Schizosaccharomyces pombe: one gene and its partners. Changing the gene in region 1 together with any one later gene gives a genetic interaction. Each region holds a gene or a part of one and is shown in the gene's direction. Other genes may lie near its edges.

Evidence for each region. A genetic interaction does not mean that the proteins touch.
Region 2: mutations in SPOM_SPAC22A12.14C (region 1) and pca1 together harm fitness less than expected from each alone (positive genetic interaction), as found in Schizosaccharomyces pombe (one large-scale study listed by BioGRID).
Region 3: mutations in SPOM_SPAC22A12.14C (region 1) and set5 together harm fitness less than expected from each alone (positive genetic interaction), as found in Schizosaccharomyces pombe (one large-scale study listed by BioGRID).

The regions. Positions count from the first base shown.
Region 1 is NC_003424.3:1,180,438-1,184,154, reverse strand, and holds SPOM_SPAC22A12.14C (BSD domain-containing protein), read left to right. Parts: upstream 1-1,690; 5' UTR 1,691-1,783; coding exon 1,784-1,882; exon of another isoform or gene 1,883-1,937; coding exon 1,938-1,988; exon of another isoform or gene 1,989-2,032; coding exon 2,033-2,926; 3' UTR 2,927-3,156; downstream 3,157-3,717. Other genes in the region: bip1 (ER heat shock protein BiP), read left to right, coding at 1-843; mug84 (pig-P phosphatidylinositol N-acetylglucosaminyltransferase subunit), read right to left, coding at 3,314-3,717.
Region 2 is NC_003421.2:2,262,042-2,267,866, forward strand, and holds pca1 (metacaspase Pca1), read left to right. Parts: upstream 1-1,925; coding exon 1,926-2,379; exon of another isoform or gene 2,380-2,425; coding exon 2,426-2,485; exon of another isoform or gene 2,486-2,526; coding exon 2,527-2,624; exon of another isoform or gene 2,625-2,651; intron 2,652-2,670; coding exon 2,671-2,694; intron 2,695-2,734; coding exon 2,735-2,903; intron 2,904-2,942; coding exon 2,943-3,415; 3' UTR 3,416-3,616; coding exon of another isoform or gene 3,617-5,229; 3' UTR 5,230-5,264; downstream 5,265-5,825. Other genes in the region: karyopherin/importin beta family nuclear import signal receptor Sal3, read left to right, coding at 1-1,528; pgm2 (phosphoglucomutase), read right to left, coding at 3,617-5,229, 5,667-5,766. UniProt on the Schizosaccharomyces pombe protein: Involved in cell death (apoptosis).
Region 3 is NC_003421.2:2,034,051-2,037,554, forward strand, and holds set5 (histone lysine methyltransferase Set5), read left to right. Parts: upstream 1-1,628; 5' UTR 1,629-1,710; coding exon 1,711-2,670; 3' UTR 2,671-2,943; downstream 2,944-3,504. UniProt on the Schizosaccharomyces pombe protein: Histone methyltransferase that monomethylates 'Lys-5', 'Lys-8' and 'Lys-12' of histone H4 (H4K5me1, H4K8me1 and H4K12me1, respectively), thereby controlling gene expression and remodeling chromatin structures.

The DNA.
Region 1 (3,717 bases):
TTTGGTAAGAAGGCTTCTAAGGGTATCAATCCCGATGAGGCTGTTGCCTATGGTGCTGCTGTTCAAGCCGGCGTTTTATCTGGCGAGGAAGGAAGTGATAACATTGTCCTCTTGGACGTTATCCCTCTTACTTTAGGTATTGAGACTACCGGTGGTGTTATGACTAAACTTATCGGTCGTAACACTCCTATTCCTACTCGTAAGTCGCAAATTTTCTCTACTGCGGTTGACAATCAAAATACTGTTTTAATTCAAGTCTATGAAGGTGAACGTACTCTTACTAAGGACAACAACCTTCTTGGAAAATTTGACCTTCGTGGTATTCCTCCTGCCCCTCGTGGTGTTCCCCAAATTGAAGTCACGTTTGAAGTCGATGCCAATGGTGTTTTGACTGTTTCAGCCGTCGACAAGTCTGGTAAGGGTAAGCCTGAGAAGCTTGTTATCAAGAATGACAAAGGTCGTTTGTCTGAGGAAGATATCGAGCGCATGGTTAAGGAGGCCGAAGAATTCGCTGAAGAAGATAAGATTTTGAAGGAGCGTATTGAAGCTCGTAATACTCTTGAAAACTACGCCTATTCTTTGAAAGGTCAATTTGACGATGATGAGCAATTAGGTGGTAAGGTTGATCCCGAAGATAAGCAAGCTGTTTTGGACGCTGTCGAAGATGTTGCTGAATGGCTTGAAATCCACGGAGAAGATGCCAGCAAGGAAGAATTTGAAGATCAGCGTCAAAAACTCGATGCCGTTGTTCATCCTATTACCCAAAAGTTGTATTCCGAAGGAGCTGGTGATGCTGATGAAGAGGATGATGATTACTTCGATGATGAGGCCGATGAACTTTAAAGTGTTTTAAAATTGCCTGTACTTTCATTTTTAAGCTTTACTTAGTATTTTATTTATGTCGAAGTATACGCAAGTCTGACTCGATGCTCTCATTGTTTCATGACCTTAATCTAAAGGGTTATTTGGAAACCCAAAATGTTTTCTCATGATTATTAATGTGGTCTGATGGCGTTATCATTTTGATAGCTTCTCGAGCTGTTTCTGCTATCTTGAAATGAGTGTTTCTCTTTCATTGTTGAACGTCTTGAGTATGATTAAAATGGTATTATGTCTCCAAAATAGACCTGATATAAAGTGCATTTTACTTTATCTACCAGAATCGTGACTCTATAGCCATTAACAAAGTTGTATGTCAACACCTAGTTAACTGGTGCTTTGTTATCTTTGTATTGCTTACTTCTGCTAATGGCTTTGTGGAACTGACAATAATTGGTAGTTAATCATAAAGACCCTGTATGTTTATCAAATTTTATAGCATTGGGTACTAATTCCTTTTATTATAAATACAATCGTTCTTTTATCTTAGTGTTTATACTTACCTGAGTTTGTGAGTAGCAGCTTTTTTATATATAGTTTTAAAAGTATTCTATTTATTAAAACATCTCATTTGATTAAGTCGAAGTGCAAAGTGGTGAAATTTTATGGTGTTGTGTATATTTTAAAATTGCTTTACTTCAAAAACTTAGAATTTGTTTTTTGGACGAAAATAAGCTGTAGTGGATTGTGTAATGCCTTTTTCATTAAAAAGTATTATTGGAAGTATACTAAGTTAGTATAAGTGTCCATAGTCAGAATACGAGCATAATCGTGTCACTATTCGGTAGGCTATACAATATCTTCACTTGCTGCCAAGTACAACATATATAGCTTGTTTGCTACCAAACACATGTGAGCTTATTCTAACAACTAAGTACATAAGTTTTCTTTTAAACTATTCAAAATGGATTTGTACGATTATATGGCACCTACAACCACTACAGAAGAAGATGATGAAGAGGGATACGAAAAACTGAAAGAAGAAATGGGTTCGGCTCTAAATGTAATTTATCCTTTATGATGATTTACGGCGCGGAATTTACTGACATTTTATACAGAATCTGACGAATGGAAAGTTTGGTTTGTTTTGGAACTCAATGAAAGAAAAGGTGTGTTGATTGCGAATAATGGCATTGTTACTAACCGTTCAAAGAGTGAAAACTTTCTTGATGATACAAAGGGAAAAGCCTCAAGTGGAATGCAGCAATTAAAATCACAGCTTGAAGAAAATATACCTGTTAATTCTGCTATGGAAAACTTGCGAAAAGTAGAAGAAACAGCAGGAAGTTTCTGGAGTGGCTTCGGATCTACAGTGAATGGTTTTTTGGATCAAGCATTGCAGATATCACCCAAAGAAGACGATGTATCGACTCCTACACACGAAGCCTCTTCGTCTGTTTTCTTAAATCGCCACGAGAGACAGTTGTTGGAACTTGTTCAAAACGAAAATACTTTTACCCAAATTATCTCTGAACCCTCTCATGGGATCACGTTTGAAAGCTGGGAAAAAGAAATTTCCATTGATGGGAAAACTGAAGAGATCTCTTTACTTTTGGAAGAATATCCTGATTTAAGGAAACAGATGGAATCTTTAGTACCTTCTGAAGTTTCTTATGATGATTTTTGGAAACGATTTTTTTGGCATAAAGAGGTTGTACAGCCGATAAAGGCAATTCAATCAGGAAACGATGAAGAAGAAATTTTTAGTTGGGGAGATGAAAGAAGTGATGAAGAAGAAAGTGACAATGAACAGGTTAATGATGAAAAAAAGCAATCAAGTGAAGAAGATACTACTGAGAATAATTCAGCAGCTGAAGTGATAGATGAAACCGTCAATGATTTGGAGTCAGCAGTTTCAAAAGGCTTACAAATTGAAACTCAACCCGCAAGCCATGATGGAGAGGTTGATGGAGAAGTTAAAGAAGAAGAGGAAAATAAAGTATCATCTTCCAGTAATATAGAAGCTTCTCAAAGTTCTCTTGAGGTGAAGGATGAAGCAAATAGAAAAGTTGATGACGATGATGAAGACGATGATGACTGGGAATAACGACTCTCGTCAAACTATTAAAAAGAGATATACTGTTTTTACTTCTCTTCTATTCATTTACTTGTTTTGGTGTGTTTTGTTCGTATAGCTAATTATTTGTCTGAAAACATTTTGTTTACGAACAACTCTTAGGTATATTATTAGCGGAATATAAAAAACATCTAATCTTGAGTATGCAGGTTGGAGTAGTAGGACTAGAGCATTAATCAACCTTCTTATAATATTATACATTTACATATACTTTTTGATTGTGAAACTTAAGGAAACCAGGATTTAAAAGTAAATCTGTATGGGTCGACGACATCAATAGATAATAAGTCCCTTAAATAATGAAGATTTTTAAGGAGAAAATGAATTCTGATATCACTTAGCTGCTTTTAGTCTTTTTTAAGTTTCTTCCAGTTGTTGTTTATTCACATCACATAGGCGAAGATCAACAACTCGACCATGAGCAGCACCATCTTCTTCACCAACGAGTGCGTATTGATCAACGATACATTCTAAGCTGCTAAATGGCTTAGTCAATACTTCGGTATTGTAAGCGTTTAGCACAACGTGAATGTAAATAACAAGAACAAATAACCAAGTAGGAATAGCTAGAGCCCACCAACGAGATAGATAATAATGAATCTCAAAAAATTTGAGAACAGGCGCAGGCGTCAGAGCCCAAACAATATACACGCCGAACCCCAACATTGACACCAAATACATCACGAACCCGTAATACTCATAAGTAGGAACTTTTACCATTATATCCCAATCTTGTTGATCAATTTCTGCAATGGCAGTTC
Region 2 (5,825 bases), on another chromosome or scaffold:
TTTAGGTAACATTCAAATGGGTATTACTGACAGTGATGATCCTCAAGCTAGTTATCTCATCTCTGCCTGGGGAAGAATTTGCCGTGTTTTAGGAAGCGATTTTGTCCCATTTTTGAGTTCAGTTATGCCTCCTCTGTTGGTTGCTGCTACCTCGAAACCTGACTTCACAATTATAGACGACGAGGTTGATGAAAGCAAATATTCTGAACAAGATGGTTGGGAGTTCATTCCCGTTCATGGTCAACAGGTTGGTATTAGGACTAGTACGTTAGAAGACAAGTGTACTGCCACCGAAATGCTTGTCTGCTATGCTGCTGAGTTAAAAGCTGACTTTGATCCTTACGTCAATGAAGTTTTGACATCTGTTGTACTTCCAGGATTGAAGTTCTTCTTTCACGACGGGGTTCGTTCTGCTTGTTGTAAGTGTATTCCTCAGTTATTGAACGCTCGGATTTTAGCTAGCAATCGTGATCCAGCTAAAGTCAATGAGCTTTGGGAGCCTATTTTACGAAAGCTGTTGGATCATATACAAAATGAACCAAGCGTGGAAATGCTTGCCGACTATTTTGAATGTTTCTATCAAAGTTTGGAAATCAGCGGCTTGAATCTGAGTCCTTCTTCGATGGAAGCACTCGTTGCTGCCGTTGATTTGCAGCTCAAAGGATTCATTTCTCGCGTGCAGCAGCGTGAGGAGGAGGCTAAAAATGGTGACATAGATATTGAAGAAGATGAGGACATGATTCTTGCAGTCGAAAATGATCAAAACTTGTTAAACGAAATAAACAAGACTTTTAGTGTTGTATTAAAAATTCACAAAACTGCTTTCTGCCCTTTTTGGGAAAGGCTACTACCGTACATGGATGGCTTTTTGTCTGGAAACGACACTGTAGCTAAGCAATGGGCTCTATGCATGATGGATGACTTAATTGAATTTACTGGACCCGATTCTTGGAACTACAAGGATCACTTTTTGCCTTACTTAGCTGAAGGTATTCAAAGTAGCGAACCAGAAATTCGACAAGCTGCCTCGTACGGTATTGGAGTAGCCGCTCAGCATGGAGGAGAGTTGTATGCTGAAATCTGCTCTAGTGCTTTGCCCGCATTGTTTAAGATGCTCGAGCTTCCTGATGCCCGTGATGAAGAACAAATTTATGCCACAGAAAATATTTGTGTTGCGATATGCAAAATTTGCCGCTTTTGTAGCCAACGTGTTCAGGATCTTGACAAAGTTGTAACGTATTGGATTAATACACTTCCTGTAACACATGATGAAGATGACGCTCCTTATGCTTACACTTTCCTTGCGGAATTGATGGAACAAAATCACGTGGCCGTTGCCTCACAAATGCCAACGATTATTACGATTTTAGCAGAAACATTTGCATCTGGAGTTTTACGTGGAAGAACTTTGACACGTTTGATGGAAGCTTCGAAGGTTTACTTAGCTCGTTTCCCTGCTGATCAAGTTAATTCTGTCATTGCCACTTTGAGTGTCGATAATCAGAGAGCTTTGTCTGCACATTTTTAAATTTCATTTCTTTCACTCTAAGTCTTTCAATATTTTCTTTGGTTCCTCAAAATGCTTTAGTTAGTTTAGGTTAGGTTAGGTTTTTATTTAATCCATCAACAATCTTCGGATTTTGTTTCACTCTTTTTAGACTATGCCGGCTAGGTTTTCACTTATTGCTTTATACATTACTTGATTTTTCATCGTATTAAATTATTTCTTCGTGTAGCAGCTCTTTCGTGTATAATACGTTTTGATGTGTGGTATGATTATAATATATTGCTCGCATCTTTTGCAATTAATTTTTTTTTTAAATGTATATACTGTAGTCAAATTGATTTTGCTTTAGTTATAACCTGTGAGATCTGGTATTTTATTGAAAGTAGCATAGTTAAGCACTATCCAACTTCCCATCAACATGAGCTACAACTCCAATCCTTATAACGGTGGGCAATATCCACCATATAATACATATACTAGACCTAATTATTCACCAAATAATGGTTCTCAAAGTAATAACACTGTACATCAATATCAGCCTCCACGTATGCCACCCCCTTCCACAAGGCCTCAGACAGACGGCAATTCTAATCAAATCCCTATGGAGAATGTTGGTCATATAAGTTTGAGCTCTGCAAACTCCCATGCTTATGCCCCACCCTCAGGTCCGCCTCCGAATACTGGTGCTAATTCTTATGGCAACCCAAATTATAGTGGGCCTCAGCTGCCAAACACTCAGACTCAATCTTATAACTTAGCAGGAGGAGGAAACTTTCAGTATCAGTATTCAACTTGCCAAGGGAAGCGAAAGGCTTTGCTGATCGGAATTAACTATCTCAATACCCAAAATGAGTTGCAAGGTTGCATTAATGGTACGGAATGCGAAAGGTCAAGTAAACATATATTAACTTGTTTAAGATGTCATGTCTATGTCCCAACTGCTGATACAGCGCTACGGTTACAAGCAAGAAGATATGGGTATGGTTGATTACGAGAACATCTTGCTAAAACTTTTTTAGTTATTATGACAGACACGGCAAGCAACCAAAGGGCAATTCCCACTCGTCAAAATATGTTAGATGCGATGAGATGGTTAGTAAGTGATGCCCAACCTAATGTAAGTTATATGTCATGGGATTTACTTCCTAATGCTAACTATTTAGGATGCATTATTTTTTCACTATAGTGTAAGAATCATCACTTTACATCTCATACTCACATGCATAGGGCCACGGAGGGCAAACAAAAGACCTTGATGGAGACGAAGTTGATGGTTATGATGAAACGATATATCCACTGGACCATCAATATGCCGGGCAAATTATAGATGATGAAATGCACGAAATAATGGTTAAGCCTTTACCAGCAGGATGTCGTTTAACAGCTCTCTTTGACTGTAAGTCAGTGATTTTAATCTATTTTTAACAAAATATAGCTTGTCATTCAGGTGGAGCTCTCGATCTTCCTTTCACGTACTCTACCAAGGGCGTTCTAAAGGAGCCAAATATGTTAAAAGAATCTGGTATGGATGTACTTCATGCTGGCCTTTCTTATGCCTCTGGCGACATTATGGGAGCTATCAACAACGTGAAAAATATATTTACCAGTGCTACCAATGGATTTAATAACAACGCTCTACAGTACTCTAGACAAGTTAAGTTTTCTCCTGCTGATGTTATTTCTTTATCCGGATGCAAAGATAATCAAACAAGCGCAGATACAAGTGTTAATGGATTCGCTACTGGTGCTTTATCATACGCCTTCCGTGAAGTCGTCACTCAAAATCCCCAACTTAGCTACTTGCAGTTGCTGAGAGGTATTCGACAAGTACTTTCCAACAAATACTCACAACTGCCCCAATTAAGTTGTAGTCATCCTTTAGACATGAATCTTGCCATGGTTTTATAGTACACTAAACATTACTTGATCATTGAAGTTCTATATTTTTGTAGTTCCATCAGATATTTAAGGAATTTTCAATTAAGGATAAAATTTAAATCACAACAACTCAGGAAATCATATCTAATACTTTATTGAAATATTTTTGTTTGCAATTTATAATTTTGCTTAAAAAACGAGCTCAAATTAAAATTATACACGCGAGAAAACTCATGGCTCTTCCAGTCCGTTCTGTTGGGGATGAAACCATTCAGATTTGATAGCCTGTTTAACTTCTGTAGCATTCTTTATGGAATCTTCAAGCGAATGTCCGCGAGCACAGATATAAAACTTAAGTTTCGGCTCTGTACCACTTGTGCGAATAGTCATAATTACCTCTCCATTTTCAAGCTCAAACGTTACGTTATCTGAACTTTTTGAAACTGGTAAAGTAGCTTTACCATCCGTGGAGCTTGAGTCGTAACCTGTAGTAAGGTCGCGAACATTTGTAATTTTCTTACTACCAAGGGTTGCCGGATAACCCGATTTTGTGTCATAATGTCTCAAGGCATCAACCAAAGCACGAAGCTTGGGAGTGTCGCGTGAAAGGAAATATGAGTTTTGCGTAGTGTAATAACCATATTTTTTAGACATTTGCTCAAAAACCTCGGTAATTGAAAGATTCTGAAGTTGAAGGCGTTTCAAAAGATGAAGGAACGTAATCAAAGCATTAACCCCGTCTTTGTCTCTAACTATACTACCTACCATATAACCAAGAGCTTCTTCATATGCCAATCCAATAAATTTCCCTTGTTTTTCCAATTCTAATGCTTTATTGCCTAACCACTTAAATCCAGTAAGTGTTTCAACATGATGGAATCCTTCTACTTTGGCCATGGACTTTACCATAGCACTAGAGACAGTAGTTGACAAAACGTAAAAATCATCAATTGGCTTTCCAACGTTTTTGTATTCTTGAAATATAAAATAGGCAAGGATACAACCAACTTCATCTCCGGTAAATCTTCTCCAAGCACCATTAATTTTTTCTGCAAAGGCGAAACGATCTGCGTCAGGATCAGTTGCAAGGACATACGAAATACCATTAGCATCAGCTTGCTCGTAAGCCAAATCCAATGCCCCCTCCTCTTCTGGATTTGGAAATTTCACAGTCGGAAAGTCAGGGTTTGGAGAATCTTGAAGAGGTACAGAAATCATATCGCCTTGTTCGCCAAATAAGTGTAATGCTGAAGTAACAAATGGTAATCCAACGCCATGAATAGGAGTGTAAACAAATTTCAAAGATTTCATTTCCAAGGAAAAGTTGTTTTCGGAATGGAATTCGTGGAGCTGAGACCAATAGTTTTTTAAAAGACCAACTGCAAAATCCCGATCTGCTAGTTTATGATTTTCAACCAAATTTTTGTCCCAAGTAATGGGCGTTAAGTTTTTTTCTATACATGCAGCAATTCCCTTGTCATGGGGAGGAATGATAGCACAACCGTTTCCCCAATAGACCTTGTATCCGTTATAAGCTGCGGGATTATGGGAAGCAGTAATCATAACACCAGCTGCAGTCCCTAGGGTTTTAACGGCAAAAGGGACTAAAGGGGTATGGACAAGATGATCGAAGAAATACGTTTTGAATCCTTTTTGCAAGAACACTGCAGCAGTAAGTCGAGCAAAAGTATTAGACTTATGCCTATGATCGTGTCCAATTACCACACCCAGCTTTGCAGCTGATGGTACGGTTTGAAGCAAATACTCAGCGAAGCCTTGTGAGGCTTGAATCACGGTCAAACAGTTCATGCGAGCGAAGCCAGCACCAATTTCAGCTCTCAAACCTTTGTAAACATTAGTAAATGAATAAACGAACTTGATAATGTTAAAACATTAAGATGTATAGAGAGAACAATCGCAAGCTGAAAATCTAATTACACTTAAACCAATTTCGTACAAGCACGTTATATAACATTCCAAGCAAAAAAGACCAAAACAGATAGAAAAGAAGAAGAAGAACGAAAAACTCTTTCTGAAATATGACCAATATGATCATCACAATAAATTAGTATACGCAGTAAGGAAAGTGACCGATGATCAAGTATATCACTTCGACTCTAATCAAGGAAAACACAATAAAGTAGTTTAAGCTACCGGCTGTAGCACTGAGAATTCTTTATTAAGAAAGAGGCATTATTTAGCGTTCTCTTTCAATCCACTTCAACTTGCGAAATATCTCTTAACAATCTCAATTTTTTCTTCTTTTGTAATAAAAACATACCAGATGTACCAAATCCAATCCTTGGATGCATAATTTGCTTGAGGGTGGCATAATCTTCAGCCTTAATCAATTGTGAAACTTCATTCCTCGTAGTTTCATCCTAATGCGTTCAATCTGTTAGTTCCACAGTACTTCCATAGTAAATATAGTCCTAATACT
Region 3 (3,504 bases), on another chromosome or scaffold:
ATTTGAAAGCAAATAGTTCTCGAAGGGATTGAATTTCTTCCGGCGAAAGGAGTTTAAAGAAATTTAATTTTAGATGCAAAAGAACAGTGAATCAGAACAAAAAAGGAAGTTAATAACTCGATTTCGCTTTAATAAATAAAAATATTATCATAAACACATTAAAAATTCTATCAATAGACCTTAACTATGTTTTTTATACAGAAAGGAGTATGCCGTCAGTCAAGTTGTAACTATATTATCATTTCCATAAGAAAACTTCTTGTTTTTCCTATTGATTGAAAAATTTACTAATTAAATAGTATCGTAAACTTCAAGTAAAATTCATCAACTAAGTCGTAAGGGACTAATGGTTGAAGATGAACGAAGACAATTTCATAAAAGTTATCGAAGTAACATGTGACTTGAGTTACCAAATTATTGAAAAGGGCATGTAGTAGTAAATATCAGAAAAAAAGTAGGTAAATAATAACAAATGTAGGCGAGTTAGAATAAGATTCGTTCTTTTTTATTATTCCTTTTTAATCAACAATTTGTTTTTTTTTATTGAACCGAAAATCATCGACGCCGAGTAAGAAAGAGTGAGATTATAATAATCCTTGACATGAAGAATTTTATAGTGAAAAAGTATCTCTGATCTTAAAACTTTCATTCATTTTGTCAAGGTCTGAAATGGGGCACATTGGTCAAGTTTCATTTTGTTCACCCTACGAAATACCTATGCACATAATTCACACATTGACAAGGTACGGAAATGCCGAATATTATAATAAATCAAATTATTTCTAGTTTACCCTTCAAATCCTAAATCTCAAAAACTCTGGTACAGTTTCTTTTAAGTGATTTAACTTACATTAACCGAAGTGACATTTACAATTTTCGTTTCAAACAATATCTACATATAAAGTACTGTGTTATGAAGAACTGGCCATAGCAAGATTTTGCTCTTGAGTTCAGTAATTCTCTAAGTTTTAGTATACCAATTCCACATGCATATCGAATAATGCGCATCCTTTTATTTCATTTTAGGTACTTTTTCATGATAGTTTGACATTTATTTTTTAAATCTAAAAAATAATAATAATAATGTAATGCAGAAGCTGTTTCAGGTATCAACATACCAATAAATTCTAGGATTTCAATCTAAGCTTAATCACAAACTTGCGATTATATTTTTTGGTAATGCTAAACCATCGTTTGAAGGATTTTTTAAACCATTTTAATTACGTGTTTTGATATCTTTGATACGGTAAGAAATGGAGCTTTTGTTTCGTCAATTGCCAATCTACATTTTTCTTGTACGAAGGATTTTATAAAAAAATATGATGACAAAGTTTATGATTAATTCAAGATCCTTGACAATAAAATATAAACAAATTGCTATAATTAATAATAAATTTAGGAATATATTTAAAATGCCATAACACTCTGAACATTTTGAAATTCGAATTATATTCCTTTTCTTTTTTTTTTTTTTTTGAAAATTGACAGATCTCTTGGGAAAAACAAATTGTGATATAACCAATTGGGGTTAAAAGTACAATAAAAGAAAAAGAAATATTGGAGTAAATAGTAAAGAACTATTTTCAGCTTTATCCATATATATTGGATTCTTTTTCTCTATTTTTTGCAGCGTATTTCGTAACCACCAAAATCTCCAAACTTTGAAAACTTTAAGCGTCCATGCGTTAATGTATTGCTTAATCGTACTACATGAACCCGTATGAAACAGAGATTTATAAAGTTGTCCCCATTCCTAACAAAGGAATGGGTATGATTGCAAAAGTAAAAATCCCCGTCGGTACAAGAATTTTTGCAGAAACGCCTTTGATAAGGACAAAAAGTGACGCTAAGGAAATCGAGGAAGCACTGTCTACAAAAACAAAAGAAGAACAGGAAGCTTTTCATAGACTTTTCAACGCTCATCCAGACACTATGGGACCATTCCTTGGGCCATTTTATTCCAATGCGCTGACCATTGATGAGACAAAGGGTGGAATGTTTTTACTTGGTTCTCGAATGAATCACGATTGTAGTCCTAACGTGAAACATACGTGGAATCCTAGACTTGATCAGGTTACGGTTCATGCTGTTCGCGACATCGAGGCTGGCGAGGAAATACTTACGACATATATAGACTTACATAAATCACATACGGAAAGACAAAAAATATTGCTCGAGCATTTTGGATTTAAATGTTATTGTAGTGTTTGCTCTGTAGAGGAACGAAAGATTAGGAAAATCAGCGATTTAAGGAGAAAGCAACTGGCCTACTATGACCGAACCATGGCAAAAATGTGTATAGTTAATCCAAGAGGTGCTCTAAGAGCATTGAGACATAGGATACACATTGCCCACGAAGAGCTTCTTTTCGGTCGGTTAGATATAATTGCACTTCTGGATGCCTTCCGATTATGTGTCATCCACGGTGATTTTGAGAGAGCCAGTATTTTTGCAAAAAAGGGGACTAAAGCAATTAGTTTGTATGAAGGAACTGATTCTGAAAAATATTTGAAAATTTCCAAGTATGTAGAGAACCCACGAAGTCATGCTCTTGCTGAAGGAGTGCCTGCTCTACCATTATTTTTAGAAGAGGATGATGAACTATCGGATTTGGAAGATAATTTATGGGGATGTAAGCTTGAAGAAGATGTTTATAGTGATACTGATTAAGCATGGGGTAAAAAACTACTGTTTTTGTTTTTATTGGAAAATTGGGCATGTATTGTTAATGCTCGTCTTAACTTTTAGTTTGATGAGCTTGGGATTGTATTTATTCTATTGAAAAATTATAAAACTTTTATGGATGATAAAAACCTGAAATTGAAACTATCTTCCTGAGATCCTAGAGTTTTTGTATCTCCTTTCTTTTTTATAAATAAAAAATTTAGAAACCTATTGGGGTTTGGCATGAATTGTAAATGATTGAGAATATTTTAATATGGAGAATATTCAGTATTTAGCATAGAAGTGAGTACTGATTTAATTCATACAAAAGGTATTTATAAAAGAAATTTATAAGAAGGGTTTGCAGTATTGAGTAATCACTTCCTATCGAGTTGTAAACATTATTGTTGAAGAGATTTAAGCATTTGGTGCATGTTTGCTGATTTTTTTAAAATATCCAAAAAATAGATTCGGTATTTTGAGCAAAAGCCGATTCACAAATAGAACCAGTAAATCAATAAACCAAATATTCCTTATTATTCAAAACAACAAAAAATTTCTTCAGAATTATACACATTCTTAAGACACTGCTTTTGTAACAATATATAACATATTCTTTAACCTCTAAATAATAAATGCATCAGTGGTGTAGCGGTAACATCAATGCCTTCCAAGCATTAGCTCCGGGTTCGACTCCCGGCTGATGCAGTTTAATATTTGCTTTTTTAGATTATCTACTAAAATGAATATCATTCTACTAAAACTATATTGGATAAATGAATCATGAAACGTGTATCAAAATGTTCTAATACAAAACTGATATGTTGATTCTATCTATTT